Astyanax mexicanus: one gene and its partners. The protein of the gene in region 4 purifies or fractionates together with the protein of the main gene of each other region. This does not show direct contact. Links are inferred from orthologs where the notes say so. Each region holds a gene or a part of one and is shown on either strand. Other genes may lie near its edges.

Evidence for each region.
Region 1: the proteins of dhx9 (region 4) and ago2 purify together in Homo sapiens (affinity purification with western blotting; 5 studies listed by BioGRID and IntAct, with this or other methods). This does not show direct contact. The link is inferred for Astyanax mexicanus from reciprocal best matches to the Homo sapiens genes DHX9 and AGO2.
Region 2: the proteins of dhx9 (region 4) and hnrnpd purify together in Homo sapiens (affinity purification with mass spectrometry; 3 studies listed by BioGRID and IntAct, with this or other methods). This does not show direct contact. The link is inferred for Astyanax mexicanus from reciprocal best matches to the Homo sapiens genes DHX9 and HNRNPD.
Region 3: the proteins of dhx9 (region 4) and prpf8 fractionate together in Homo sapiens (co-fractionation; 3 studies listed by BioGRID, with this or other methods). This does not show direct contact. The link is inferred for Astyanax mexicanus from reciprocal best matches to the Homo sapiens genes DHX9 and PRPF8.

What each region holds. Positions count from the first base shown.
Region 1 is NC_064410.1:49,162,606-49,170,537, forward strand, and holds the start of ago2 (protein argonaute-2), read left to right. Parts: upstream 1-4,860; 5' UTR 4,861-5,265; coding exon 5,266-5,290; intron 5,291-7,681; coding exon 7,682-7,729; intron 7,730-7,932. Other genes in the region: homeobox protein Dlx5a, read right to left, coding at 1-183, 801-1,152.
Region 2 is NC_064427.1:26,840,103-26,848,006, forward strand, and holds the start of hnrnpd (heterogeneous nuclear ribonucleoprotein D0), read right to left. Parts: upstream 3,038-7,904; 5' UTR 2,801-3,037; coding exon 2,652-2,800; intron 830-2,651; coding exon 661-829; intron 50-660; coding exon 1-49. Other genes in the region: hnrnpdl (heterogeneous nuclear ribonucleoprotein D-like), read right to left, coding at 6,556-6,626, 6,725-6,889, 7,184-7,295, 7,383-7,514, 7,639-7,800. UniProt on the Homo sapiens protein: Binds with high affinity to RNA molecules that contain AU-rich elements (AREs) found within the 3'-UTR of many proto-oncogenes and cytokine mRNAs.
Region 3 is NC_064425.1:24,553,103-24,560,717, forward strand, and holds the start of prpf8 (pre-mRNA-processing-splicing factor 8), read left to right. Parts: upstream 1-4,444; 5' UTR 4,445-4,554; intron 4,555-5,892; 5' UTR 5,893-5,903; coding exon 5,904-5,997; intron 5,998-6,097; coding exon 6,098-6,266; intron 6,267-6,379; coding exon 6,380-6,544; intron 6,545-6,642; coding exon 6,643-6,861; intron 6,862-6,941; coding exon 6,942-7,154; intron 7,155-7,263; coding exon 7,264-7,389; intron 7,390-7,479; coding exon 7,480-7,585; intron 7,586-7,615. Other genes in the region: myo1cb (myosin Ic, paralog b), read right to left, coding at 53-145. UniProt on the Homo sapiens protein: Plays a role in pre-mRNA splicing as core component of precatalytic, catalytic and postcatalytic spliceosomal complexes, both of the predominant U2-type spliceosome and the minor U12-type spliceosome.
Region 4 is NC_064415.1:50,994,633-51,002,800, reverse strand, and holds the start of dhx9 (ATP-dependent RNA helicase A), read right to left. Parts: upstream 3,131-8,168; 5' UTR 2,984-3,130; intron 1,494-2,983; 5' UTR 1,480-1,493; coding exon 1,369-1,479; intron 1,123-1,368; coding exon 982-1,122; intron 166-981; coding exon 57-165; intron 1-56. Other genes in the region: probable RNA-binding protein 46, read left to right, coding at 6,021-6,123, 6,347-6,684, 8,112-8,168. UniProt on the Homo sapiens protein: Multifunctional ATP-dependent nucleic acid helicase that unwinds DNA and RNA in a 3' to 5' direction and that plays important roles in many processes, such as DNA replication, transcriptional activation, post-transcriptional RNA regulation, mRNA translation and RNA-mediated gene silencing.

The DNA of each region.
Region 1 (7,932 bases), on a different chromosome or scaffold from region 4:
GTGTTTGGGTGAGGCCCAGAGAAGCGGCCAGCTCGGCTCTCTCGGGCAGCGCCAGATACTGGGTGTTCTGGAAGCGCCTCTGCAGCGCGGCGAGCTGGAAACTGGAGTAAATGGTCCGGGGCTTCCGCACTTTCTTCGGTTTACCGTTCACCATCCTCACCTCCGGCTCCACCGACTCTTTTTCTACCGCACCAAACACAGAGAGGAGGAATATGAGTGATGAAGAGAATAAAGAAAAATACTATTCTTTAACTCTAACTGAGTAGAACCCAACTGAACCGCACAGAGTAAATAAGGAGAGGGTTTAGGCAACTCGATAAACGCGCACTGCGTAAACACTTTCCATTCGGGTCATATAGTAAAGTTACATAGATTAAATTAATGTACATATACCTGTATACGTGTCTACACTTAAAAAGTCAGTTTATTCGATGTTATTTACCTACGTTATATGTAATCTTAATCTTAATGCCCGACCATTTAAATTTTACCCGTTTCTTATTTATTTTTTATTTAACAAAAAAAAAAAAGAATCTAACAAAACCTAGCAACACACAGCGTACAAAGCTTTATTTATTAAAATGCTAAAATATATAGATACAAAAATGAACGTATTTTATAAGGAAATAATCATTAGAACCAAAATAAAAGTGCTCTAGTTTAATAATGATAAAAACGCGAAGGTTAAATAAGTTAAATATAATACAGACACAAGTGATAGCAGCATTAATAATAATAATAATAATAATAATAATAATAATAATAATAATAATAATAATAATAATAATAATAATAGTTACCTTGCGGGCTGGGCTGTGACTGCACTCTGCTATATGTTCCGTACTGATGGTAAGCTGAAGTGCCGTAAGAGCCGTAGTCAGGGTAAGATTTGGCAGAGTAATTTCCCGCGGATCCACTGACTCCGTGGTACTGGTACGGGTAGCTGTTGAGAGGTTTCCCATAAGAGCCCGAGTTTGGAGAACAGTAGCCGTGGTGCGCTCCGGCCGGGCTGTAGTAGCCCGCGTCCGTGGCGGTGGACTCGGGCAAGGTGGGAGACTCCTGAGGCGGGTGGTGCATGGCGGAGAGCTGGAACGCGTTCTGGAAATCTGTAGCTTTCGTACCGGGAATCCTCCTGTCGAATACTCCAGTCATGGTTTGTTTGAGTGAATATATATATATGTGTGTGTGTATGTGTGTGTGCAGTAGGCAGCGGCTGTAGCTCTGTGCAGGTCTCTGAAGTTTACACTCGCATGGTGTGTGCTCGCTCTGCTCCTGAAGACTGCTGGAAGCCCTGCAGCAAACACTTGGTTAAATCGTGAAGGGCGCCGTTACGCACTGCAGGGAGGATCCAGCTCCATTGGCCACGACGCGCACTACAGCTACTCCCTAACGCACTGAGCAAAACACTGCGGCCTGACGGGAGCAACTATACAGCGGATTTATAAACAGTCAATGGGCTAGAGACGACATTTTCTTTCTTTTTAACGTTAAAAAAAGGATTAACAGAGCCATGCTGCGTGTAAAGTACAAACCAAACGCTTTTCAAATAAGTCTTAGCATACATATAAATGAATCTACATGTTTCTACCCTTTCGTTCAGTCCTACACTACACAAACACATTTTTTTTAAAGCAGTAAAACATTTACAGGCTCAATCACATTATTTTACGTTTACATCATATAAGCCTTAATATAGTTTAAATCAAAAGCCCGGATTTGCCTCTTTATTGTTACACACGTTGCCCTTTTAGTTAATGAATCCACATCGTTTTAAATTTCTCAGGGCGCTTCATTACGGATTACAAGCTAATAGAAAATGATTTACATGTAAAAAGAAAAATAAATACAGTCACGTTGTTAAATCAGACGCCAAGTAAGATAGTATTGATTTACTAACGGTAAAGTGGCGCCACCGCGTGGTGGAGATATAATAGTCAAAGTCAAAGTGGTTTTTATTGTCATTTCAGCTATATACAGAGTACACAGTGAAACGAAACAACGTTCCTCCAGGGACCATGGTGCACATAAACACAGTGTAGACAGAACAATAGTGCAACAGTACAAAAGTGCAGACAGACAATACAACACAATACAGACAAAGAATAATAAATAACAAGACAGTGTGCAAATTATGCAGTGTGCAAAAAGTGTGCAAAAAAGACCAGTGAGGTAGTAATTACCTCTATTACACAGTGTGCAATAGAGTCCAGTGAGGTAGTAGGGTTTTTAGTGCTTTCCATTTTCTGGGGTAAGTGGGGTAAGAGTGTGTGTGCATGTACAGAAAAACCATCAGTTCAGTCTCTGCAGTTGAGGAGTCTGATGGCTTGGGGGTAGAAGCTGTTGCAGAATCTGGTCGTGCTGGACCGGATGCTGCGGTACCTCCTTCCCGAAGGCAGGAGGGAGAACAGTTCGTGTGAGGGATGAGTGGGGACATTCACAATGCTGGTTGCTTTGCGGATGCTGCGGGTGGTGTAAATGATAATTTAAATAATAATAATCTGTACTTTTAAATATTTTATGTATAATAATAATAATAATAATAATAATAATAATAATAATAATTATTATTATTATTATTATTATTGTTATTATTATAACAATAATAATATTAATAATAATAAAAAAAATACATAAATACTTTCTGCACACAGACTTCTAAATTTGAAATGACTTTAGTAAGATTTTTAACTTTTTAACAGAGTGTAAGGAGTTACCAGTTTTTTTACTGTTACTTTCTTACTTTACTTTTTAATGTGAATGATTTCAGATATTAGTAAAAAAAAATAGTAAATTTATTAAAATAAGAAAAACTACTTAATAGTAAATGCAAATAAAATATAATTTTTGAAAGAAGTGTTTTGTGTTTTTGTGTTTTTATAAATTTCTGATTAAACAATTAGATAAATAACAAAATAATTTTGACACATGCTTTCACATGCTGCTCCCTGGTGGACTATCCATGCATTACATGCACCAGACAAATACATATTCTAAGTTTAAATTTTAATTACTTGAATAATATGTTTAACATTTAAATCAAAGTATATGGACAATTGTTTGTTCTATCATGGTTTAGATTATTAAAAAAATAATTAAAAAAAATATAAATGTATTATTAAAGTTAAAATCAGCTATGCAGGGTGTAATTTGTTTATTTTATTTAATAATTGGTAAGTTTGTTTTAAACGTGGTTAGATGGTTCAAACTATAATGAGTTAAAAGCTTACAAAACTGTTCTGCTTGCAGCCTAATTTAATTGTTGCAGAGCCTCTTTATGGAGAGCTTACCCACTTCCTGTACAAAACCTTTACAGCAAAAAAATGAGCGCACACCACTAGAGGGAGCCTGAGAGGGAGTCCTTAATAAATGAGAGTAAATGAAGCTAAACGGTTAAACTTAAATTAAAAATAATAATGAACTACTTGTCCATGTTATTAATTTACTTTCAGAAAGTATGTGGAAGTATTTCGCAAAAAAAAAAAAAAAAAACAATTTTTCCATTTTTCTGTTTTTGGACAAAAGAGACACTAGCATTACTATACTGTGTGCTGACTGGTTGGTAAGCTGATTCTGGAGAGTGAAAATACAACCAGAGCACGTTTAAAGGGTTTATAACTGGAGTTTAAAAACTTTAAAAAAAAATGTGCTGAAACATTCTATGTATGTCTGTGTTGATGAATAAATGAATTCATTTTTCAGTGTAAACATGTTCAAACATTTACAAACTATGATTTTGCTCAATTGCTCTATAGAAACCCATTTGCCAGACCTCATCTCCTATTAGAAACCATCATGATTACTCAGATCACAAACTGCTGGTCTCTAGTTGTTCATTAAATTCTCTAGTTGTTCATTAAAACCCCCTAACTCTGGAATAATCTTCCCAAAAATGTTTGGGACACCTTCTCCATCTTTAAGTCTAGACTAAAAACGTACTTGATTAGTTTAGCTTTTGGTAATTAATGTTTCCCTTTAGATAAGATTGCATATTTTGGCTTTCATGATGTCTTGACCACTGCATGCGATCACTCAGGTTTGTGGACTGTGGGGTGGGTGGATGCCATTGTTTCAGGGTGCCTTTGTGTCTATGTTACCTTCTGGCTCTCTCCCTTTATTCATGCTGTTATACTCAGATCTGACACAGCCATTAGCCACACTCTGATAATGTTGCATATTGTCTTTTCTCCATAAATTCCATCTTTCTGCCTTCCTCCGAGTTACTGACTGCCCACCTATCCGGCCTGATACCGACGGATGTTCAACTCTCAGGGTCTCCTGTCACCTGTCCGGCCAGACTGGTGGAAGTCCCTGGAAGTCAGGCTTCCCTGTCACTCACCACAGTAGTAGCTCACTCCCCACTACCAAGAACATCAAAGTTTACATGAACTCTAACTAGTAATTTTCTAACTGCCTTCACTGTGATAACCTCAAAATACAAGTGCTATTTAATAAATTTTATTAGATTTGAGATGATCTTGGTCAGGTTTGTCCAATGGTGGCCCAATAAAAACTGAAGATGTTCTCAATTAAGTGGGCATTATCGCTGATTCGAATCCCGGTCATGCAGCTTGCCATCAGCTGCCGAAAGCTGATAATAAAAAAAGAAGATTTTACTTTTCTGCAATCAGAAGAGTGGGGTCTGAGACAGAGTTAGCAACATACAATGTTATAAACTATGATTTTGCTCAATTGCTCCATATGAACCCATTAATTTAGCGCTCAGTCAGGAGCGCCCACTGGTGGGCTGATAAACAGTGAAGAGGTTGTTGGTTAGGATATTTCAGTGGGTATTCTCCTCTTTAGAGAGTCTCTGAAGGCTCGGAAGTGACGCACAGCTTCGCGCAAGTGTTTACTTGTTTTTATTAATTTTCGGTCGCTTTGCATTTTTATAAACGTGCTATTTTAATATTTAAAACATAATTTTTTACTCTCTATATTTTATTAGCTCTTAGTAAGCGCTGTGGTGTAGTTTTTGCGCGGGTTTTCAGAACACCGGAGCGGCGGGCAGGCGGATGGTGCGGTTGTGGTGGTGGTGCTGCTGGTGATGGGGGAGGAGGAGGGACGGAGGCAGCGGGACCCGCGGAGCTACTTCAGCCCAGCACTCGCCTAAAACCGCGTTTTATCCTCCGAAATCTGAGATTAAACAGCCGTTTTGCACCGCAGTCTAACTATCCCGTTCTCGTATGCACTTCACCGCGGTCGGGAAGCGAAAGTGAGCGCGGTGCGAGCGGCGAGGTCTGTTTAAAAGCACAAGAACTCGCCAAAATGTATCCGAGCGGAGCAGCTGGGGGTGAGTATCGTAAGCTAGCTTAACTAAAGCTACTGAATTAAAGCTAAGCCTACCCACATAGCTAGCGTTAGCTAACTACAGGCTGTAGATTTGTATCTGCTGTCTGAAAACACCGCCTATCTGTGGCCTGGTATTTAGAAGATTTAGATTATAAACATTTGTAATAGATTAAATTATTAATCTGTAGTGTTTGAGAGCTCCTGGCTGATAAATCCGCCTGTTTAGTGAGCTAGGCCGTGCTATGTTATTGTTAGCTAGACGGCTAATGCTAAGCTAGGCTAGGCTAGCTCGCTGTCTGCGCTTGTGACTGGTTAGCTAACGAGGCTGGCAAGTGGTGGTGTTAGCTTAGCTAAGATAGCTAAGTAAGCTAAGCTAACAAACAAAGTTTCTAGCTAACCTAGCTAGATTGAGATAGCGTTACATAATTTTACATAGCTACGCCGACTACACAAACTGTAGTTTGTCGTTTGTACTAATTAAGTTAGCTTAGCTAAGTTATCTTATTACGTTATCTGTAGTTTAAACTAGTTAACCCTAGCTAAGATAGCTGTAGTTAGTTAACTAACTATAGTTTCAGTGGTCAGTTAAAGCTAGCTTAGTGATTTACTAATCTAGTTAAATAGGTCTATCACAGGTTATTTCTCTCTTAGTCTAATTAGGTTACGTTTTATTTTGCTGTGCTTTTCTGCCTAATGTGATCTGTACAGCTAACTTACCTAGGAAGTAAGTTATGTAGTACACCAATCAGTAAACAGTGTTAGCAGATCACCTTGCTTTATATTAAAAGGAAAATATATATGTTAGAAACACTAAGTTAATTATATAAAAACCGTTTATGGCTTCTCGTTTGCACCAGTTAACTAGATATAATAATTAGGGTTAGGTTTAGCTAGCTTTGCTATGTGTCCTTTCCTCACTGTAACCTAGCTAACTACAGTTTCAATGGTCAGGTAAAGCTAGTTATATATTTCTTAATCTAATTTATTTTTACTGTGCATTTCTACCCCTGATGTGTAAAGCTAGTTAAGAAGTATTTAACTTAGTACACCAGTCGAGTACACCATTTTAATGCAGAGGTTCTGATGTTTTTAGGTGAAAGTTTTTGCCCCAAACTATTTCTGGGGGATTTTGTGAAACAATGATTCTCAATATTCTTCAAATATATGAGGGATTCTCTATTTAGATTTTAGATCTTTCAATTTAAAGTGATACACAAGCTATTTTTTCCTTTACCTTTAATTTCAAAATGTTTTAGTATGAAACATGGTTCAAATATAACGTCTTTTTTGGTCAGTTAAGGAAATGTCTATCTGCTAAGATTTCTTCTGGCAGCTTCTATATGTAAATATGTACAATCTTGATTATCCCACAGAAAATTAATTAAGAGCAAAAACAAGTCAATTATTTTAATTAACCTTCCAGCCCTACCCCAAATTAAAATACAAGTTTTCAGTAAATATTGTTTGGACAGTTAAAACAAGCTAGGTACTAGAATTTATTTTGAATCTTTTTCTACCAAAGGTAATCTGTAAGGAGAATTAACGCCAGACAGCTGATTCAGTGATCCCCATTAGGTAGCTGGTTAGCCTGGTCCAGCTGGTTGTAGTTTCACTAGTGTCTACAAATTGTTAATACAAGAATATATTTGTTTTTTTTCCCCATGTAAGAACAAGCCAACCTCAATTCTTGTCTCAACTGGTGCATATTGATTATGCTCACATTAGTTTTACTGTAAGTAGCAGGTCAACACAAAATTGAATTTGTTTGAGTTCTTCTAACATGTGAGCGTAGTTCAAAGGCCAATTATTTTTAGGACTAAACTTCTACATCTTATTAAGTCTGGTCTTAGACTTAACCTGAGTGTGAGAAACCCATTCAAAGTAACTACAAATATCTTCTTTGCCCTTGCATGTTGGGAACAGGGCCAGTGCTGTTGTGTAGGTGGGGTAGACAGCCAGGCTGTTAAGTCGCTGGTGTGGTCTTGTTGATAAAGGGGTGAGAGAGTCTGCAGCACAGATCAGGATGGGACCTGCTCTTTCCTATCTTTGAAACGTGACACATTTTTGGTTTTGATAAGCTTGGTTGAGGCATTTTTGAGAATCTAGCAGCTAAAGCACATCATTGTGACAAACAAAAGTCATTTATAGTCTTGTGCAAATGGCTAGACTTAATACATACTCATTTGTAAATCATTTGAATCACTAGAAGTTAGACTCTATAGACTTATTCGACTCTCTGATAAGGGGATCATGACATTGTCACACAAACTTATTTTGTAGAAATGTCCACAAGCCTGTTTAATGTCTTGTGTAATTGACTCCACAGTATCTCAAGTTTGTCTGGGGGGCTGTGTAAATAAAAAATATAAAAATGTAATTTTGTTTTTGGTAGTTGCTGAGATGTGTGAGGGCCTTACCTCTTCGCGATCAGTAGATTCTGGTAAGCAACCATGACTCAAAGGTTCATTGTGCAGGCTAATTTCAGTTTTTTATTCAGTTTAATCAAATGTATTTTTCTTTGCTGCATAAAGAAAATGTTCATACCTGTGGCATAAGCGAATTGTGACGCCCCACTCAATTGTGGGGAATTGTGCTATAATCCAAATATAAGTTATTTAATATTGAGCATCAGACAATGACAAG
Region 2 (7,904 bases), on a different chromosome or scaffold from region 4:
TCGGGTCAATGACTTTACCATTAAGCTTGTGTTCTTTCTGCTGAATTACCTGCAATCAACAGATGACAGTAGACAAGTTTAAGTTCCATATCATACAATAAACAATCCAGATGATACAGACATCAAAAACCAGTAGAAACTGAACTGTAAAGAACAGTGTTTTTTATATTCAGTTCTGGGGCTCTGCAAAGTTTCAGGTGAATAAAGCATAAAATCTGTTATTGTCACATTGCACACAGAAATATTTATTTGGTCATTTTTATTACAAATATATAATCCCAATATCGATAAACGCTACATAAAAATTGATACGGATGCCCACAATGGCTGTCTGTAGCTACAAAAATAAAAAAATATATTTTCCAGTTACTGCAATGTGCCCTAGTTCTTCACTTAATGTGGTTTGCTCTCTTTAAAGGGCCATAAAGTTATATGTTAATTTCGTGGCTTGAGTGCTTTAGAGCTCTACAGATCTGCAAAAGGGGTCACCATTTCTACAGATTTCATCAGTTTAGCTACTGAGAAGAGTTAAATGAGGTGTTCTTTAGTATTGTTTAAACCCTAGAAACCTGCCACCACTCCAACCCCTTGCAGAAAAGAACAGTAACCCCTGGTCTAGAATGACCAAAATATGAGTAAGAGCATAACAAAGGACACTACCTTTTCCACGCTTTCAGCCTCTTTAAACAGCACAAAGCCAAAGCCTCTGGATCGTCCAGTCATAGGATCTAGTTTTAAAGTGCAGTCTACAACCTCCCCAAACTTGGAGAAGTAATCTTTAAGGTCCTTCTTTGTTGTGTCCCAGCTCAACCCTCCAACAAACATCTTCCTGTAAAAAGACAAAAGAGAATATGGCAAATGCTGTTTCCATATTAATATACTTTTAATAGGGGAGGCAGGCCTTTAAGCTATTTCAATTTTATTTTCTTTAACTTTAGGTGATTGAGAAAGGGGATACACAGTTATGCTACTCTTATTCTGTCAGTGCTGTAAAAAAAAAGCTAATTATGTGTAAAAAAAAAAAAGTGTAAATAAAATGTTTAACCACTTATTTACAAGCCTGTCAAGTCAAATTAAATCAGGTTCATTGCTAAATGACATTAACACAGGTGTAAAAGTGAACATCTTTGGTGCCTAGACCCTCACAATTAAAATAAAAATACAATAATAAAAAAAAACAATAAAAAACCATGTATAACCAAAAACTTAACACTATGCATACATTATTATGTTTCCAACATTTAAATAAAAAATAAGGTATTTTTTGTGTCCAAAAGAAGAATAGGGTGCAAGAATAGAGTGAAATGTTTGTTTCTTCTTCTTTGTCCTTTTTTTTAATGACCACAGATAAAAAGAAAGATTGCACAAGGCTGACTGTAAGGAGAGCAAATTTCAACATAAACTAAAAGCCAAATCCCAGAGGAAAGAGGAAATTTAATCATCCAAAAACAGCAAAACAGGACACATAGTAACAGACATTATGGTTTTATTATATATGAGAAACACAAAATTCACAAAACAAAATAAAACGTGTCTGTCAATGAAATGTTTTAATCTAAGTTTGCGTTATTAACAAATAACAAATAAATTAAAAAAGTAAAAATAGCTTGAAATTCAGGCGTAAATTCAGACTGGTCAAATTAGCCTACATTTACGCATTTTTGCAAAAAAAAAAAACCCGTGTAAAAAATCTAATTATCATAGCGTGTAATGCAGAGATTAGGTTATCTAGCTGCGCCTGTGTTTTAGCAACGACTTCACTGGCGTTTCCAACGCCGGTAAAATAAAGCTAACTAACGTTAGCTTAGTTAACTAGCTTTAGTTAATTACTTTCCTGCTAATTAACGTTATATAAAAGTTTTCCCATTATTAACGACGCTGTTTAACAGAGTTTGTGGGGGATAGTTTGCAAATATATACACAATATACGCATTAAATTAATAATAATTCGTTTCATTGGGTAGAAACTTGCTAGCATTCGCTATCTAGCTTTGCAATGAATGCAATGTGGACAATCCAGTTCCAGAAAGTAAAGATCCTTTCCGGGATTTTGTTCTAACTAGGGCAGCCCTGCTGCAACGGAAACGAATTCTGCAGGGCTGACCAGGCAGTTGGAGCAAAATCCTGGAGTAGATTTTCACTTTTTGGGAAAAGTGAGACTGGTTGACTGGTGGACTGGTTTAACAGCTTTGGTTGGACAAGTGGCTGTATAAGCACACCGAGACTCTTTGTAGAGGTTTGTAGTAAAAATAAAGACTTTTAAGTACTGATATATTTAATCTCTAATACTAAATTTACAGTAAGTACCGAATAATTAGCTTGCAAATGTAGCTGGACTATAAAAAAAATCCTGGAGCAGATTTTTCACTTTCTGGAACATTTTTTTTTACTATCTTTTTTTTTTTTTTTTTTTTTTAGCTAAAATGACAACTGGCTCAGATATAATCGCATACACACCCCAAAGAGAGGCTTAAGATGCAAATACAGACTTTAAAGTACAGATATTTCTAATTATTTAAGAATAAATGTCATATTATTAGCTATTATTAGGCAGATAGCTAGCGTTAACTAGCTATAGCTAGCCTACATGCTCAGCCACCATACAAAGCTCAGGCTTCTCCACCACCTCTATCATGAGCCCCACTTCTTACCCTTCATCCTCCTCATTTTTACTGGCATCAATCTTCGATCCTTCAGCGTCTCCTGATACACCGGCATGTATCTGTTCTTCTCCACCCCCCTCCCCGTCCTCCTCCATCTTCATACTCGGGTCTTCCAGGCCAAACAGCTCCTCCGACATGTTTGGTCGTTTTCTACGGGAATCTGGCAACTAACTACTAATGTTTCTGCTAACCTGCTTCTATACTAATCACCAGCAAACTCAGCTAACACAGATTTGCATCTACTCTCTTAGAAAATAATAAAAACTGATTTAAATCCCGGCAGGAATGTAGCCTAGCTAACCTATAGTTGATCGGTTTTGCCAGCTGTCAACTCCTCGTTGCCACACACCGGTGTCCTGACGAATTGTGTTACCCCGCCAAACCGTGCTACCCTAGTGTGTACTGTATATACAGCTCTGGAAAAAATAAGAGACCACTTCAAAATGATAAGTTTCTTTGATTTTACCAAATTATGAAGCTGGATGATCACAAGCCATTAAACCAAGCTGAACTGCTTGAACAAGAGTGGCATAAAAACTGGTCGAGGAGAACATTCCAAGAAAATACAATAAAACCAGGGTTATTCCACCAAATATTGATTTCTGAACTCTTAAAACGTTATGAACGATATGAACTTTGAATTATTTAGGATCTGAAAGCTCTGCATATTTTTGTTATTTCAGCCATTTCTCATTTTCTGCAAATAAATGATCTAAATGACAGTATTTTTATTTGGAATTTGGGAGACATATTGTCCGTAGTTTAACGAAAAAAAAAAACAACTATGTTAATTTTACTCAAATATATACTTATAAATAGCAAAATCAGAGAAACTGATTTAGAAACTGAAGTGGTCTCTTAACTTTTTCTAGAGCTGTAGATAGATACATAGATGGAGGGGTAGATTTTTATTGATGGCTTTGGGAGGGTTCCCTCTGCGAAATAAATTTTCCAGCAGCATCATTACAGTAGACACAAAAATAGATAAAATAAAAAATATAAAAAAGCTACGAAAAAAAGTAAGAAAAGAAGAAAAGGTGTTGCATCATTGCATATTTGGATAAAAATAAATTAAAATATGTTTATTTTTAAAAAAGTATCATATTAGGTATATTTAGAAAGCCTACATTAATGTATCAGGGTAAAGTTAATGCAATTTAATTAAGATTAGTATTTGTATGTATACGTTTTATTATTATCAACTGCCATGTGAAATGCTTTTTAAAATTCAAGCAGATATATTTAATGCACAAAAATGCATTAAAAAAATAAAGTGCTGGTCCGCGCATGCGCAGTGCTGTAAGAAACACATATCGATGGGTAGCAGAACTCTGCACAACACCGACGCTGTCGCACAAAATGGTGGCACAGAGCGAAAGGAGAGGACGACGGCAGCCAGTGTAACTTTCTCAGTGTTTATTCTGCCTTTATTTCACTCTGAATAAAGTTAAGAACCATTTAAATGGATTTGAAGATTGGCCTGAAACCAGTTTACCCATTTATTGATAATATGGAATGAGAATAAAATCTTTAAATTATATAAATATCTAGGTTAGTCTAATGACCATGTAGTCTATTGACCAATACATGCGGTTTCAGTTTAATTACTCAAGTAATAAACTTAGGATGTCTAGGAGACACTGGCTGTGTCTTGACATCTCAAACCAGTGAGGAATAAAAAGGGTTTCACCCAATGAAATACATTAAGTTGGGTCTGTGTATTGTTTCATTAAAAAAAAAAAAAAAAAAAGACCACTTGAGGCTAAATGCCAAAACCACACAATTTTCCTGCAAATACTTTTTTTCTCACCCTCAAAAAAAAATGGTGCGAAAAAGAAATGAGAATTGAGTAAAGATATTTTTTCCTGAAATTAATTTTTGAGGTGCAGAAATTATAAACTAGAAGCCAGAATGAATCTTTACTATACAAAACGGGAGAAACACTAAATTCAGTTTTACACTTCCTTTTCTATTTACAAATTTAGAAATTTGAACTGAAACTTTACACTGACCAAGGAGCAAAACATTTTTTACAGCCCCTGACCCCATTTTAGGCTCTAAAAGGTTTAGTATACCTTGTTTCAGGGTCCAGAAGCACCTAATACACATTTTTAGCAAATTTTATGCTTTCACACACCCACTGCAACTACTTTTTATGTTAAATAGACTAAATATATAACTAGTTTTAGGAAAAAGAAAACAAGATTTGTACATGGCAAGGAGCTTCAGGACCAGATATGGGAAACCTTTTTTTACATTGAGTGAACTCAGTAAGGCTTAAAAAAGAAAGCAACAATACAAGGTCACTGTTTTGATACCCCAATTTTAATATTCCCTTTATCCAAAACTGAAGGAAAAAGACAACAAAAACAAATGACATTTCCAAATAAAGATATAAGAACACACCAGTACAACCCTACAGGTTCTACCGCATCAACGCACTGGATAAGAAACTTGGAAACAATATTTACAAGGTCAGACACACTCAATGTCTTCATCTACAGATGACAACCAAATAAAGGTACTTTAAAAACAAGATGCTCTTTGATTAAGAAGGACAGGGTATCCACAAGCTGCCTCCTGGGTACAAACTCAGTCAGCCTGCTCACCTAAAAGAGAGGAGACAGAACAACAATCAATAATTTCTATAACAAGTATTTAACTAAAATGATCACCTTCCATGTTTCTCTGTTTAACATCTTGAGCTGTCGATTTTAAGCTATTAAACACTTCACCATTCAAAATTAAAGATCATATGTACAACTTATGAGTTTCAGAAAGCAGCTCTTCAGCCAGGAAAAGCTTTAGCTCAACTGGGTTGGTGGATAATTGCACCAAAACAGAGCACTTCCAAACAAAGATAATTCACTATCCTATCAGATATAATAGGACTTTTACCAGTCAGTAACTGCATTCGAGTTGGTAGTTTATGAGTCAGCTTTTTATGGCTTCATAAAACTGGTTTACATATGATCTTTATAAGCTATGTTTTAAGGGAAAAGCTTGAGGTGTACCATTTGAAGTTCTCTATGGGTTCTAAAGAAAAAGCAAGCATTATGAGTTTCTGCAGTTTACAGGATTGGAGACCGTTCATAGGAGAACGAAAAGAAAAATAAATAAATTAAAATCACTGATGCTCCAGAACTGAAATACAAGAACACTAAAATTAATAAAAGAGAATACAACAAACAGTTAAATCACTTAGGTTTCACTGTTAAATACCTGTAAAAAATTCATTTAAAAAACTGTTAAAGAAAGCATTGACAACTTAAGGGAAAATGAGCGATCTCCTTTTTAATGTCTGTTCTTTGTTTTTAAACGCTGGTACAGGAAGTTTGAAGAGACCATACCACAGGACAGCGTTTTCTTGTGCATGCCGTGCTCTCTGCCCGCTATGTGCGACGCCCAGAGAATTTCGTGGTCAGGTGACACACGGCCTGCAATGAAGTCCCCCGCTGGCAGGTACAAACAAGTACAATATCAGAATTAGGGAAAGAATGAAAAAAATAAAATAAGGAGGTGCCCTTACTTTGTACCCTTTAGCAGTACTTTACCTGTTAGCATTGCTATCAACACTATCTTATTTCCTTATGATCACCTGTTAAAAAGCAGGGAGGAAAATGGAAACCAATCTACAGAAAAACGCTTATGTTTTTCTGGAGAGCTTTAAAACCAAAAATAAGGCACACCACTAACACAAGCATTATTAAATTATAATTAAAGATCTATAGACAAATCCCCAAATTACTCAACATGGGGTGCATGATAATGCATACCACTTGTTTTAGGATAATCAGTTTGTGTCTATTGATCTTTAAATTGTATACAAGAGGACAGATGTAAGGCCAAAGATGCAGTCTTACCATAACTCTTAGCAGGTCATGTCATTTCGTCAATATGGCTGGTAGTTGTTCTGATGATTTCCACCCTCCCTGGAGGCCTTGCCGTAACTGCTGGGCTGACCTATTAAAAATATATATATATATTTTGTCAAATGTTTAATGCATGTTTGTAACAATAAAATAGCAAAACTCACAAATAAATAAAAAGTTAAGACTTACTGTTGTAGTCATCATACCCTTGTCCATATCCGTAATTCTGATAGTTGTAGCCTGAATAGTCGTACCCAGAGTAGCCATTATATCCCTGGTTGTATCCATTGCCATAGCTACCATAGTTTTGTCCGTAATAATTGTTGTAACCCTGGTTGTATCCTTGACCTTGCCCTGCACAAAGGAATGTAAATGGTTAGAATCATAGAGGGAAGAACTCAGTTTTAGTACTTTCTGCAAAACCCTCCCTCACAGTGGTTCTCTGTTTTGGCTAATTGTAAATGCACCCATCTCTTCCTCAAAGAACAGTATAACTGCATGTTTTCAATCCAATCAAGCAGCTGTTGGATCAGTTGTTTTCAGACTTGAGTTAAGGGTTTGAGGAGTGATTCTCCTTGGTTGGAATGAAAACCTAAAGCCAAAACAGAAAATACAACTGACTGCTGCTTTAGACAAAAGACTACATACCTCCTCTTCCACGACCCCTGAATCCTCCTCCTCTTCCTTCTCCAAAGCCCCGGTCACTTCTGCCCTGCTGCTGTCTGTAGACTTCTTTAGGCTGGGCAACTTTAACTTCACACTAAAAAACATACCCACATTAAAAAAAAAAGTTTAATTTAGACCTTATTGGACTAGCCATGCTCGTAAATAAACGCAGTAAACCAACCTTTCCACTTCCAATTTGGTGGTATCTGTTTTCCAAAAGCTTCTGAACAGGCTCTTCTTCCACATACGTTACAAAGCAGAATCCTCGCCTCTCATTTGTCTTACCATCCACAGGAAGTTCAATGTTTTCAATCTGTTAGGAACACACATGCCAACCACTTTAGCACTAGCATGGACTCATACAAGTTAACACTTCTGGAGAAACCAAGTACTATAATGTGTTTTTTTTTTAGTCCTAGGCCATTCATATTACTTACAGTTCCGTAATTTCCAAAGTATTCCCGAACTTGTTCCTCTGTTGTTTCTGGATGGAGACCACCAACAAACACCTTTTTGGGAGGTTCCTTCCCCTTCATGGCCTTGGCTCGCTTCGGATCAATAAGCTTACCATCCAGTTTGTGTTCCTTCAGTTCCAGAACCTGAGCAAACAGATATTTTTCAATTGTTCAGCTTTAATTATTGTACGATTGTAGTAATTTACAGATAAATCCCAATGTACCCATGCTAGCAATGTAGAGAACTC
Region 3 (7,615 bases), on a different chromosome or scaffold from region 4:
CTTCCAGTTCCACTACAGTTCAAAACAAGTCATTAGACATGCTCTCTCTTACCTTGGAGCAGCTGTGACAGTAGCTCTCTCCATTCATCCCTGGAGAGAGGATGATCTCCCCTGTTGGGACCAACTGAATCTTCAGCTCCATCATGATGGCTGCTGTCTCCTTGTGTTCCCTTCTTCCTCACTGACAGTGTGCCTGATCCTTTCACACCACTGTCGTTCCTCAGCAGATGCTGGAGATGGTTGGAACAGAGTAAAAACACTTTGCTATGGCCAGTAAAGTAGAGAAGTAGTGAAAACTGAGCAAATATAAGCAGTGAAAGCTAATGAGAGACAGGGTGGAGTAAGTAGTGTTACCTGCGGCAGTAAGAGAGCTACTGCCAGCTTCCTCTGTTAAGCAAGAGAGAGATATGTGGGGATGTCCGGGCCTCTTCCCAAAGCCAGCCCCAGTATAATTGATGTTCCTTCTTTGCCGCTCCGCTCAGGACGGCGAGGGTTTGCCGCCAGGGTTTCCTCCAAACTCCAGCATCCTGTCCTCGACATTCTCTGAGTAAACACCAGAGGAAGCCACGCTGCTTCCCCTTCATATACAACATTAACTTAGTCCTTACACCATACACTACTTTAAGGAAAACCTTTTTACAATTTTCCCTAAAAACTCACATCCAACATTTGTATCTACTGTTTTATAGACAGATAAGGTTGGTGGCAGGATATGGCACCATTAGGCAACCACAAGCTTTCACATTTGATAGACAGGCTTTAAATATCTCCATCTCCGCTGACCCTCAACCTGACAGGCCTGTGACCGAGACATTCCTGTTCCTGTTCCTGAGCAGCGATTAGACTTGCTTTCTTAAGCTCTCACAGATAACACAATGTTAAAACAATATTTAATGTTAAATGGTTGTGAAAATTTTGAAATGTACTCATCCTTCTGCTCTTTGAATTAGCATTTGAAATTTCATCACCATACTGTTGAATCAGATTGGTAGTGGTGGGTAACATTCTTTATACTCAGCTTTACTACAGTGATGTAAGTTTATTGTTAACCCTTTGTTATCAATAGGATTTTCTAGTTTTAGCTACGTGTAGTAATTGCTTTTTGTTTGTAATTGTACAGTTCCTACTTCTCAGAGTTGTATATTTAGAGAGAGAATAAAAATAAAAAAATTACTTTTTTTATGATGGTATACAGTTTTTATTCCTGTTTTTTTTTTATACTTTAATACAATTTTGAGCATCCCGACTGTGAGATATGGTTTATTACAGGTTGAACATTGAAACAACTTCGCCATATACACGTTTAACTGATTCAACGTTAAAATGCCAGTTGGGTACAAATTAATACTTCTAGTTATTTAACAAGGTACACACATGATAGGCTCCAGCCCCCCCATTTTATTTCAAGCCATATTTCAGACAAAACATATATTAAAGACTGAAGGGCTATAATGAGTTTGTGTGGGGGTGGGGGTGTGTGTGGTACCTATTCTTGTCAGTGATGGGTGTTCCATTAAAATATAGCACTGTTAAAAGAGGAAATGACACACGCACACATCCTATGACCTGTGACACGGCTGAGACATTCATGATTTCTGGGTATCAACAGGAAACAGCAGTTTTGACGTCCCACCGTGATGAAGTGAGCCTTGGCAGAAGCATAGCTAATGTCACTATGTGGTTTATTAAGTAAGAAAATTAGTAGTTGGCATCTCATATTCACGGTAAACCTGGGTCAACTGCATTCTTAGCTTGGTCTGAGGGATCATGCTTGTTTAAGTTGTTGTGTACTGTATATGCAGTCATGTCCTAAAGTGTTGGCACATGTGAAATTTCTCCAAATTAAAAGGATTCTACACATGTTTATTTATTTGTGTGTATTGGAACAACACAAAAAGTAGAGAAACAATGGAAAATCTTACATTATTTCACACATAACTCATCATTAAATTTGAAAATTGCCATACCAGTATAGGGAGCAGTTTCAGAATGCTTCAAAAAGCATCCAGTGTGATAAGATGGATGGAATCAAAGTGCTGGAGAGTTTTGAACTGGACAGCAATGAGTCCGGACCTAAATCCTGTTGAATACCTGTGGAGAGATCTTAAAATTCCAGTTGAGAGGTGTAAGAAGCTTGTTAATGGTTATAGTAAGTATAAAAATATGACTTTTGGAGAACATGCTTAGGTTTTAAGTTGAACATTAGCTGACAAGATTCTGAGGTTCAGTAACGCTACTCTAAAATGCACTTTGTATTTATAGGAGCAAAAGTGGCTTTAGCCTAGCACAGTTGGATTAGCTTCCTCTTATGCTAAATATGAATTTGCAGTATCTTCTGCTGATACTGTCCCATGAAAAGCCACAGTCACAATGGCCTAGTTCAGGTAGCAACCAGTTTTCTGTTAACTAAAGTCTGGTGGTGGTGATGTGCATGCTTGTCTTAGAAAACTAAATAAAGTATTAATAAACATCATACTCTCCCAGCGTGGCCAATATGTTTTACTGCATTGTAGCTTTGCTTGTGGGCTGGATGTTGGATTGGGCTAATTGGTTAGATTATGCCAGATTTCTTTTTACATAAAAAGACATCAGTATTTGACAGTGTCATTTCTATGTACCAAACTCAGCTATGCCAAGGTCAACACAGTTTTCCATTCAAGGACACTTTAAATAAAGTTTTCAAACTACATCAAACTCTTTTGTCTTAAACCAAAAAGGAAAAGGCTGTTTATCATGATGTGGGTCCTTTAACAGTGATTGCCAAGAGACATAAATGCTCATTAATAAACAGGGAAGTTGAAATGCCATCTGCTGTGTGTGACAAGTTACCCATCAAACAGAGACATCTTTGCAGGAGGAAGCACAGTGAGTGTGCTTCCTGTCCTCTCCCTTCCATCTCTTTTTTCCATCTCTGAAATGCCCACCCCAAGTATACACTTTTATAGCTCAGAGGAGCTGGTAAATCCACTCCCCTGCAAGGACACACAATTTGGGTGTTGAAATAAATGGTCCATATTAAAATTTAGACTACAGAGTTAAAAGCAGCAGGAACTTTCAGAACATACCCCTTATAAGGCTGTAGAGGGTGGCCTGAGATGGGGATGTAGAGGAATGGCATCCTGTTTGGGAGAGCTGCCAGCTGGAGGGAAATTGAGAAGAGAAGTTATGTCAGGAGATGACAGGTGAAGGGCACTACACAGCTACTAAACACTGTGGCACAGCAGCGACTATAATGAGCTGAGTGACAGAATAATTTTGAAACAGTATTGTCTATTTTTAAATTAAAGGGTCAGAATACACAATATTTCACTGTCACTCTGTTCCCACAACATTACAGTGTGTCCTACTCAGCTTCCTTTGTTGGCTTTAGTATTCTGCCCACAGGAAAAATGAGCAGTAGCCTCTACTGGGAGTGATGATGAGTGTTTGATTTGTTGCCTGGTGCAGTGCCATATCTTCCATGATGGAAACTGTGCTTAGTAACTTCATGAGCAAAACTAAGACCCATGAGGTAAGGCTGGAAAGCAATGTTATTTTTTATATAGAGGGCCCACATATTATATTGTGTATGTAATATAGTTACACAATTGCATTATGACATTGTGTAGACTCTATTTTAACCAAGACATAATAAAACTACATAAAAACAATATTCATTATCAGTAGCAAATGTTTTCATATATTTACCTTATTATATATTTAACTGGATATTTACTCACATAAAGAACAATGTATGGTCGTACAGCTTTAATATTGTAAATGTAAACTTATTTTTTTATTATTCTGTTCATTACAGGTACCTATGCCCACGAGTTGCTTTTACCGATAACGCCATCTGCTGGGGACTCTTCACATATAAATGTCTTGACGTGACAAATGTAAATTCGTAAACATATAAATTATATATAGAATTAAAATGAGGAAATACATAGCTTAAAGAAAATATTAGATTTTTTTGTTTAGTAACAACAACAACAACAACAACAACAACAACAACAACAATAATAATAATAATAATAATAATAATAATAATAATAATAATAATAGTAATAATAATAACAATAATTATTGTTATTATTATTATTATTATTATTATTATTATTAATGTTAATATTAATATTAATATAAATATTATATATTTTTTGCCTTAACTTTTTATATATTTTTTTCAAATTTATTTCTTAAATGTGCAAAACATAAACATAAAAAATAAGACATTGTTAGTTTTCGCGCTATATTTTCTTTAAGCAAAATAGTTCTTCATTTTTATTGTTTTTAATATATTTGAACATTAAATTAAATGTAAAATAAAACAACTGCGTTTACAAACTTTTAACGGGCTCCAAACGGAAACTGTATTATTTCCTCATCCGGGGCTTTGGATACGCATGTTTTAGTGGTCCTGCGTAAAGGGTTACTCCTTCTTTGCGATTCAGAGTAGGAAACTTCGCACTTCGCGGTGGTGAATTGTGTGTTGTTACGCACAACGTGTGGAATCGTTTCTCGGAGCGCCATTCTGCAGGAAACTCCGGAGAAACTCTGGGTTTAAACACAGTAAGATGTTTTTAATGCTGTATTAAACTGAGGCGTTCTCTGGGTATAGTTTTATAGATTCATATTTGCTAAATGTTTGTTTATGGGCATGCTCTGTAACCTGTGAGAGAGTTATAGCTAAACCCGTTAGCCTCGGCTCGTGCTTTGTTACGTAGTTAGCTGAAGCTAGCTATCGTGCTAAGGTAACGCTAGCTTGGTTTAATCCAAATACTATTGCGACTCGTATTAAACACAGTTCGGCTCTGGTTTATTTTTATTTTGTGTTGTGTGAGAATGCGCCTGTTGGTTACAGTTTATAGCTAAACAAATAATTTGCGGCTCGTTAGCCACTTTGTTAGTAGCCAGAGCGTAGCTGTAGTGTGGATAATGCTTTAGCGTAAGCGGGTAAATTAGTTGGCATGGCTAGCTGTTAGCTAACGCCGGCTAGGTTAAAATTGTTAGAATCCAAACAACAATAATTAGAGTTTTGCTTTCTAGTTAAACTTTTCTTCTTTCCGACGGTCACTGAAGGTATCTATTTATTTTTATATTGAATATGAGGCAATGCTAGTTAGCTTAGTTAGCTAAATATTTGTGTTTGTAATAGTTATCCAGCTAGCTAGATAATTAGTGTTACCTTAGGTTAATGTGTCCAATGTGTGTGTTAAAAGCAACAATGCAATTAAAAATGCTTTAAAAATGTTTTCAGTCTAAACTGAATTAAACTTTTTGTGTAAGTTACTTAAATGTATCCATTTGTGATTAAGACAATACAATACAATATATGTGGTGAAAAAATATTTTATTTTACTTTAACCAGTATTTAAAGACTAGGATTTTATTTAAATAGCTTAACTTGGAAGTTTTTGCAGTCCTTAAATATTGTGGTTTTCTGTTCCGAAGGTGGAGAGCAACTCCTTTCTTAGTATTGTAGAAGCTTATATAGCAAAATGCTTTTTAAGGATCTAGCTATGCTATATTGCGGTTTTATAAAAATACAAGACTCACCAGACGTCAGTGGTCCAAATTTTCATATAAAAACGTATAGTGCTCTTATTATTAATTATTATTATTGTTATTATTATTATTATTTTTTTGATGAAAATTAGAACATTATGCTTTATTATTTTTGATCCTATTCCAGGTATTCTGATGCAGCATGCAAAAAAGTTAATTTTATTATTATTATTGCAAAGCAGTGATTTAAGGGATTGTGTAATGTGGCATGTTTTATCTGATCCACAGCTCTGTGAAAGTGTGTTAAAACTGCCAGCTTTGTTCTTTCTGTTTTACATATTCATTTGTTTTGCCATTATGCCATCTTAGACCTAACTGTTCTGCATTGCTGTCTTCCAACAGTAGACGCTGCCATGGCAGCTACATTCCCCTACAGAGGTGTCCCTGGTGTTCCTCCTCCTGCCCCGGTGCCAGACTACATGTCTGAGGAGAAGCTTCAAGAAAAAGGTTTGAATGCACGAAAGCAATGAATTGTTTATTGAACGTGTGCACTATAAATCCTTGTGTTATCAGAATTCTGATACACTTTTGTCTGTTTTAATTCCAGCCCGGAAATGGCAGCAGCTGCAGGCAAAACGCTACTCGGAGAAGAGGAAATTTGGTTTTGTCGATGCTCAGAAAGAGGACATGCCACCAGAGCATGTGCGGAAAATCATTCGGGACCATGGAGATATGACCAACAGGAAATTTCGTCACGACAAACGAGTCTATCTTGGGTAAATATAGAGATTTGTGCACACTTTTTAAAATAATTGTTTAACTGCAAACTTTGTGAAAAAATTGTAACAACTGTTTTTGTAACAGATGATGTGTCTGTTTTTGTCTCTAGGGCTCTGAAGTACATGCCTCATGCAGTACTGAAACTGCTGGAGAATATGCCCATGCCCTGGGAGCAGATCAGAGATGTGCCAGTGCTGTACCACATCACAGGAGCCATTTCCTTTGTAAATGAAATTCCTTGGGTCATTGAACCAGTTTACATTGCACAATGGGGGTAAGTTACCATTGTTCCAATCAAGCTTTGTTTTTTATCAAATGTATAGATTTATTAAACTTTTGAGATTAATCACTTCTTTTTCTGTTTGACGCTAGTACCATGTGGATCATGATGCGTCGTGAGAAAAGAGACAGAAGGCACTTCAAGCGTATGCGCTTTCCTCCCTTTGATGATGAGGAGCCCCCACTGGACTATGCTGATAACATTCTGGATGTGGAGCCCCTGGAAGCCATTCAGATGGAAATGGACCCTGAGGAAGATTGCTCAGTTGTAGAATGGTTTTACGAACACCAGCCACTGAAGGATGCTACCAAGTGAGTCTTTGTCACAATCAACAAAAAAATAAATTTTAGTTTTTTACCACCTTATCTCATTATGTCTCTTTGTCTTTTAGATATGTCAATGGGACGACATACAGACGTTGGCAGTTCACCTTGCCAATGATGTCCACTCTTTATCGGTTAGCCAACCAGCTGCTAACTGATTTAGTGGATAGGAACTACTTCTATTTGTTTGACCTGAAGGCCTTCTTCACTTCAAAGGCCTTAAACATGGCCATTCCTGGAGGGCCCAAATTTGAACCCCTGGTCAGAGACATCAATCTACAGTATGTATACCTGCATTCTTTTTAAGTACACTGTACTAGATTGAATCGTCTCTCCTTTAAGGTCTTTTGAAATTTATGCATGATTTAAGTTTGCCAACTTCTGTTACAGGGATGAAGACTGGAATGAGTTTAACGACATCAACAAGATCATCATCAGACAGCCGATTAGAACAGAGTACAAGATTGCTTTCCCATACTTGTACAATAATCTTCCACATCACGTCCATCTCACTTGGTAAAAAGACCTTTCTTTTTAATGTTTCTTGTGTTTGTGATTTAAAATATAAGTTGATTATAATACATAATTACGATACTGTTTACCCAGGTACCACACTCCTAATGTGGTGTTCATCAAGACAGAGGATCCTGATTTGCCTGCTTTCTACTTTGATCCTCTCATCAATCCCATCTCTCACAGACATTCTGTAAAAGTAAGGACGGTAGTAGTTAGGATTGCTTGG
Region 4 (8,168 bases):
GAAACTTAGAGTGTAAAATGTACATGGTAAAGGCAACTAAAATTAAGTAGCCATACCTGACTCGTTCTTCACAACTAAATGTGGTGGTAAGGGGCCATTTGGTGGGAGACTTCCAAACCCACCACCTTCTGAACTGCTGCAATCAGGTACATCTGGAACACTGGCCTGGTAACAGGAGGGATGACATCAAAATATATAAATATATTAAAGAATAGGAATTGAGACACCTATATAGTCTTAACAGCATTTACAAATGCAATTTTTTTGCCAATTTTTAAGTTATTTTACATTGCCAAGTGTAATGACAACATTTATTTCAACTTTATTAATGCAAATATTCAGCAGTAACACCGACATTAGTGCTTGGCTGTATGACCAAAAATGTATATCACAGTATTTTTCAAGATTCTGACGATTTAACAAATAAATTAAATTCTGTGTACATTATCATCATTCTTCAAGCTGCAGTATTATTATATTTAAAATGGCTATATTAACAGTTCTTGAAGCTTTTTTTTCCACCTCATATCCAAAGTTTTAGGGAGTTTTATCACTTGTGCTGAATAAATTATTCTGTACCCACAACCGATTTTGGGCTCCTCTGGGGGACGAGAGAAACTTTTTTCCAAGCTGTGGATCGGTTGCTCAATTCCATTCCTCTCTTTTTTGAGTAAATAATTGCTGTTTGCTGTTGTTTTCTTATTTTACTCAGACAAAAACACTGCTATTGCAAGGAACAGCAACAGGAGCTCCTTAGATAAAGTGCTGTTCTCATGTTTTTCCAGAGAGGACAGAGCGTTTGACTCGACAGAGCTGAGCTACCATTAACCCAGTGTGTTAGCTTGTTATGCTAACTGGCTAGGTTAGTTAGCGGGTCGTATCTGCTTTTTTGCCAGTGCCTAGTGGTATGTAAAAAGCGCATATCGGCAAACCAGTATACTGTCCAGCACAAACTGACATGGTTAACAAAATCATACTTACCCCTAAAGCAGGGACTTCAGAAGCACTCATCTCACCAATACGGACAAGATAATTCACAAAGTCCCTGGCAGCATTAGACTGGGCATCTTTCTTGTTGGTGGAGTTTCCCATTCCAGTGTAATTAAAACCATCAACACGTACCTAAATGAGGCACAAAAAAAAGAGAAAAAAAAAATGTTGATCTTTGAAACATTCTAAACGTGTAATCTCATTACATTATCATTATGTCCGTAGCATAAAATGCTTTTTATAGTTTAACAATTATTTCTGAGACAATATAATTCACAATATAATTATGGTGACAGGCCTGCAAGAGAATAGACATAATAAGTATTAAGTACAGAGTTGCTATAACAGTCAATGTGTAACAGGTATCGTGTAGTTTACCTCACACAGGAACTTTTGTCTGTTTTTATTCCCAGCTGCTCGTATGTCATAGTTTGGTGTTAATTTTTTCTTTCCGCACCAGGCATACAGATAGTTTTTGATGTCTGCCATTGTTGAGAGTCCCCCTGGAAACATACAAAAGATATCATTTTAGATATCATTCACAAAACTTAGATAAACTATGCTGTCTGGAAAAAAATAAATGACACCTCCTACAAATAGGTAGGAACTTCCCAATGGATAATTACTACATGGGTGATTATGTCAGTAGGTTCTTATTTGTTGAACAACCGTGGTTATGCAGTGGTCCCAATCTCTTATCATCAATACAAGATCTTCTGGAAAAACAAATGCAACTCAAATAAACAAATAGTAAATGTTGTGACATTACAGAAGTTTGTGGAAAGATACCAAAAGTTTGGACATGTTATCATACAATGTTTTTCTTTACTTCTGTATTTCATTTATTTTTTACATTGTAGATTAATATTAAATACATGAAAACATTTAAGGGACATATATGGAATTACGAAGTAATTAAAAAACGTGTCTTCCACAATCCCCTGACCAAAACCTGATGAACTGAGATGGTGATTTGAGGTGATTTGGGATGAGCTGGAGCTTCACAGCCAGCGTGAAGGAAAAGCAGCAACTATTGTGCAGCAACTATTGTTCAGCACCTCTAGGAACTCCTTTAAGACGCTAAAAAAAACTATTCCAGATGACTCTCCCTCATGAAGTAGCTGAGATTAAAATTCCAAGAGTGTGCAGATCTGTCTTAAATTTTATAAATAAAAAATAAATCATAAATTTGATACTTAGGAGAATCTAAAGTATAAAACATTTTATAGTTGTTTAACACTATTTGTTTACAAAATAATTTTGCAGGCGTTCCAGTATAGCTTTAATACAGTTTTTAATATTAATTTTTCAATGTACAAAAAAAAAAAACGAACTGAATGAGAAAAGGTCTCGAAACTTTTAGCTAGGTCTTAACCAGCTAACGTTAGGTTAACTACGTTAGCTAGCCTAGCGTAGCTAGAACATCTCAGCCAGATACGTTTGGGTTTGCTAGCTTAGCTAGTTAACTAGCTAGTAAGATTAATGGTGTTCTGTCGATTTAGGGTAAAGCTGCCCAAATGAAGGATACTTCCATTGGCTAAACAAAAATCACAAAAAATGATTTAAATCACTTATCAGGAGAAATTGTCTTGAAAAAAAACTCACATAAAAACGTTAACATTTCTAAATCGATGTATGCGCAGAACAGAAAGTAACACATTTTGATGGGTAAAAGAACTCGACAAAACACCGGCTAACATAATAGCAGTATATAACTCAAAACCACAGCACTGTACTGTACTAACTGCAGAAATAGCACGATGATGAAGTCGCGCAATATAGGTTAACTAATACTTGCAGGACCACCAGTAAATAAACAATAAAAACATCATTAACTAACACTAGCTAGGTAACTGTATAAGAAAGAACAGCGCTTGCTAAAGAGCTAAAGCTAACCACAGAACACAGTGCAGACAGACGGAGTGTACTGTACTGTTTACGGTGCTGGCAATACTCAACACGCAGTCAGAACTAGTTCCGCCGGATAACTCACCTCCTCAGCAGGTATCTTGCTGAAACACAGAGCGGAAAATTAACACAAAATAGCTGAGAAAGGTCGCTAATCTCAGCGCTGCGGTGCAGGGCGCAGCGTCGTCAGCGGGCCAGACATGCGCAGTACAGCTCCACTTTGTAATGAGAAACATAGTACGCATGCGCAGTAAAAATTCCTGGCTAGATCAGTAAAAGGCTGCGAGCCACTAGAGGAAGCCCGCGATAGAGAACCCATATTAAATAGAGTGAATTAATTTATGAGATTAAAACTGATATAAACTTTTCAATCTGAATTTTGAAGCTATATCTAAATTCAATTTACTTAACATTTACCAAGATGGATTCACATATTTGAATTTTTGTTTTTGATTAGATTTTTGTGTTTTAAACTAACTTCTGAGGAGGTAAAATTTGCTGTTGAAAAAAAAAACAATGTGAATTAATTAATTAATTATTGAATAATTTAAAAAAATCTATATCCATACATTTTCAGATAAAAAAAATCAGTTTTTTTTTCTGATTTTAAAAAGATCCACTTTTATTTTTTTTTCTAATTGAAATCTCAGTCACTCAAGTTTACTTTTTCCTGGGGACCCTGGGTGTTTGAGCTATGGATTAAATTCTTAATTCTGAATTTTGAATCAGATAGATCTTAAATTTTAAAAATAAAAATAAATATTTCACGTTGATTAAAGGTCAAGTAAACCAAATTCAGATATACAAAATTTAGACGTGAATTATGTCATCCTTTAAGCTCCATATGAATGAAGCTAGATTGCTAAAAGTCTTATTTAAAATAGAAACTATTTAAACTTTTAGTTTCTAGTCACATTTTTTTAGACTAGTTAATTATTATAATTTCTATAATTTGATGTACAAGCTCAGTATACATTACTGTAAAAACTCTTATTTGAGATATCAGCTTTAAATGTTTTACTAGTGATAATATCATATCTATGGATCTATACATTTATTCTTACTAGTTATACTTTATGTTACAATTAATTTACATGGTCTCAGAGCTTTATGCTAGACATATTACTACATTTAATTATTATTCATTATTTACTAGAAAAAAAAATACTAGAAATACAGTTACAGATATCTATAATATCTATAGTAAAAATACTATAATAGAATAGAATAATCTGATATTCCTATAATTAAACGTTTAGAACATGTAAACAATTATTATTATTATTATTATTATTATTATTATTATTATTATTATTATTATTATTATTATTATTATTATTTCTACAATGCAAGAACACAGTACAGGCTATAATATTAGAATATAAACGTATATAAGCATGTAATATGTGTTGGTAAGACTGCAGGTGTGCCGCTGGTTTTAATATTCAGTTAATTTAGTTGAACCTGATTTGCTGGCTGATCTGGAGGACTTTAGTTAGTTAAGGTTTATAGTTACCAGGGGGATCTCAGCTTTAAACCTACAGAAACTGGAGAACAGGTAGCCCAGATTACTAGTTAGCTACCAAATAACCAAAAAATAATAATTAGCTACTTGTTTAGGGAAAAAGGCGAATTTCTGCGCCGCCTACTTTTTTCTATAAAGTTTTTTTTATAGCTAAAAGCTAAAAAACTAATGCTAGGTTCGCTAAACTGATCATCAAAATCATTAAGTGGCTTAGCTAATATTGTTTCAAATAAAGAACATTTTATTGGGTATCTATAATCTCCTAACTGCCTGAATTTATGTTTCTTGGTGAGTTGGATAACCTGTGGTGTCGTATTTCTGAATATTATAGTTAGCTAGGTGATCAGGTAGGTTACCTAGTGCCTGACGTTAGCTGGCTAACTAGTTAGGAGAACTGGCTAGGCTGGTTAGCTTTAGGTTACCTAGTGAACGAGCGTTAGCCTAGCTAGCTAGCGTTGCTAAATTACCTCAGCTTAGCCAACAGCGGTGCTTGGCGGCTAAGGGCGACACTGCTGAACATTTTTTAGTCAATTTTATGAAATAATTGGTGGATTTAAACATGTCTAAGGGAGAGTGGGGTTAGATGAGCCAGTTTTTACTTAGTAAAAGTGAGTTTAAAGGAAGGCCATGACTGTTATGCTTCCAACTAAAATATATATATAAGTTATTATTATAGCTCATTATTTTATTATATAAACTACGGACAACATTTCTCCCAAATTCCAAATAAAAAAAAAATTATAGCATTTATTTGCAGAAAATGCGAAATGCCTGAAATAACAAAAAAAGATGCAGAGCTTTTAGACCCCAAAAATGCAAAGAAAAAGAGTTCAGAAATCAATATTTGGCGAATAACCCTGGTTTTTAATTACAGTTTTCATGCATCTTGGCATGTTCTCCTCTCAAGCAGTTCAGATGGCTTGTGATTATCAATTGCTTAATGCATCATCCTATTAAAAAAATTGATTTTAATGTTTTTTATATACTGACAAGGGTGGTAAACTTTATTTTTCCACAGCATGTTAAATTTACTTTGTACAGGAGTATTTATTAGGTATTACTAATGTGGAATTAACTTTAGCCATGACTACATCAGATAAATCAGATAAATAATAAGATACCACAGCTACAGTTATTTACATATCCATTTTTATGTCATCTACTTAATTAAAAGGAAAAATAAGCTGGGTACTTGATTTGAGTTAACAAATATCTGTTTTACAAAGGATCTAGATAGTTGTATTAAATGAATACATGTTTGTATAATGCATTGACATTTATAAAGTTGAAAAGTAATTTCAGAATCTATGAAACAAAGCTCTTACCTTGCCGATACAGTTTAATATTGTCTGTCATTATGGTTATTTGATTATATTTAATCAGATGTAGGTTTGTTAAAACTGTAAGAACTCATAACTCTTATTATAGTTTATTTGTATTGTTGGTTCTTAAATGGATGTTTACCTATTTGATATTAAACTATTAAAAATGATTATGAGTGCTTAAGTACTGTGTGTACTTAATTGACGTTTCTGTTGTATTTTCTAAGGTGCTAGGGGAAGAAGGCTGTGTTTGTCATCTTCACCAAGACATTAAGATGGAAAGCCCAAAGATAGCTAATCTTCTGGCCCTAATGGATAAAACAGGTTACGGTATGGTTCAAGAAAATGGTCAACGGAAATTTGGGGGTCCACCACCAGGTAAGAATTTAATGATTTTTAGTAACCTAAAAAATAAAAATAAATAAATAAAACCTCTTGATGTGGGATTAAGAACAGGAGTTAGCTCGTTTGCACCTGTGGTTAAATGTTGAGTTACTAGCCTTTGCTTTCAAATGCAATATATTAATATGTATAACATTCCTAAAATATTTTTTACTATTCAAATGTCTCATATGAACAAAAATATGATTCTGTGTTCTAGACTGGGAAGGTCCCCCTCCTCCGAGAGGCTGTGAGATTTTTGTGGGGAAAATTCCCAGGGACATGTATGAAGACGAGCTGGTGCCTTTGTTTGAACGTGCAGGTTGTATCTATGAGTTCCGCTTGATGATGGAGTTTAGCGGGGAAAACCGTGGCTATGCCTTTGTCAGGTACACCACTCCAGAAGCTGCGCAGCAAGCCATTTATCTGCTTGACCACTATGAGATCCGTCCCGGGAAGTTTATAGGAGTGTGTGTGAGTCTAAACAACTGTCGGCTCTTCATTGGGTCCATTCCAAAAGACATGAAGAAGGAGGAGATACAAGAGGAAATGATGAAGGTCAGTGATTTAGAAGTTAGGAGAGAGAGCTTTGGTTTTATTTATCTATGGTAAATATGCAATCATGTATGGATTATAGTTCATTGTTTAAAGTTAAAATGTTACCCATCATAATTTTGGAGAAAACAGAGTTTTAGTTCAGTACTTGAAAACCACAAGCCATTCTATTTTTTCTCTATTCCATTTTTTTAAAAAGAGGATTACCAGATCCTACAATCTTGTATGTTTTTGGGTACATGCTTTATTGCCACTAATGATGCACTGTAATGGAAATTTGTCTGCCTGAACATGTCTGAAATTGAACAAAATACCTAATTCCCTTTTTATAGGTTTATATGTATATGTTTTGCCACTATTCTCAAAAGGCTAAATTTATTTTATAGATACTTTTCAGAAAAAAGATAATTAAAACGCTTTAACATCCTAGCAGAGACACTTTGATGTCTTTTCTGAAAGTAAAGCAATCTAAAGGAAACACTGCAATATGACCTACAATAAATGAGCTATTGTTTGCTATAAATTATTCAGTACTTTTAGTTTTAGTTTTGGTTGCCAGTATTTGGTGCATTAATATTTACCTCTATTTGTTTGTTTGTCATATCTCACATCGATCTCCTGTAAAGTGCTTTGTAAGCTTCTTTGAGTGTAATAAATAGAAAGTGGGCTTCGTTTTTTTGCCTCATTAGCTTTCCGAAAATACAGATTTAAGCAAGATAAATCTTAACTTGCTATAGATAAACAATGTCATGTAAAACAGAACAGTTTAAGGTGAATATTTTCATTTCAGCTGTTAGCTTGAAAACTTGCACTGGACTTATTGCGAAGGGGGGTGTTTAAGAGATTTGATGGTTTTAGTAAAAAACTACTGTACAATTTGGCTGTACAATGATTTAATATCAGTATATATCACAATATCAAATATTTCAATAAAGGTGATATGATTTGTAAAAACATTTCCGATATTTCAGTATGCATTTTTACTGCATATAGTCATGAATTGATGCTCATTACAGGGCACATTACAATTTCAAATGATTTTTTTTGTTTGTTTATAGTGATATTGGAATTGCAATTTAGCATTTAACATTAAGAAATATTTATTATAATATACTTGTTGTCAATTTCGCCCATTCCTACTGAAGATAGGAATGTTTATGAAAACAATGTATAGACTTTTTGTAGGATTGTTGTCTCGTTTTTAAATGCAGTTACTATTTAAGGTCAGTAAGAAAAGGTCACCTGTTTAATCGTTTGCACTGTGTTGTAATTCATCAGCTGCCATCAAGTGTTGTAACAGACTGTAAATTCATAAATGATAAATTGTCACAATCAGGGATTGTTGTTTAGGCTACTGTGTTCCTGTTTGTTCGCCACTTTGCTGTTTTGTATTTAATTTTTATTTCTTTCTCGTTCAAAATCTAATCTAGGTAACAGACGGTGTGGTGGATGTTATAGTGTACCCCAGCGCAGCAGACAAAAGTATG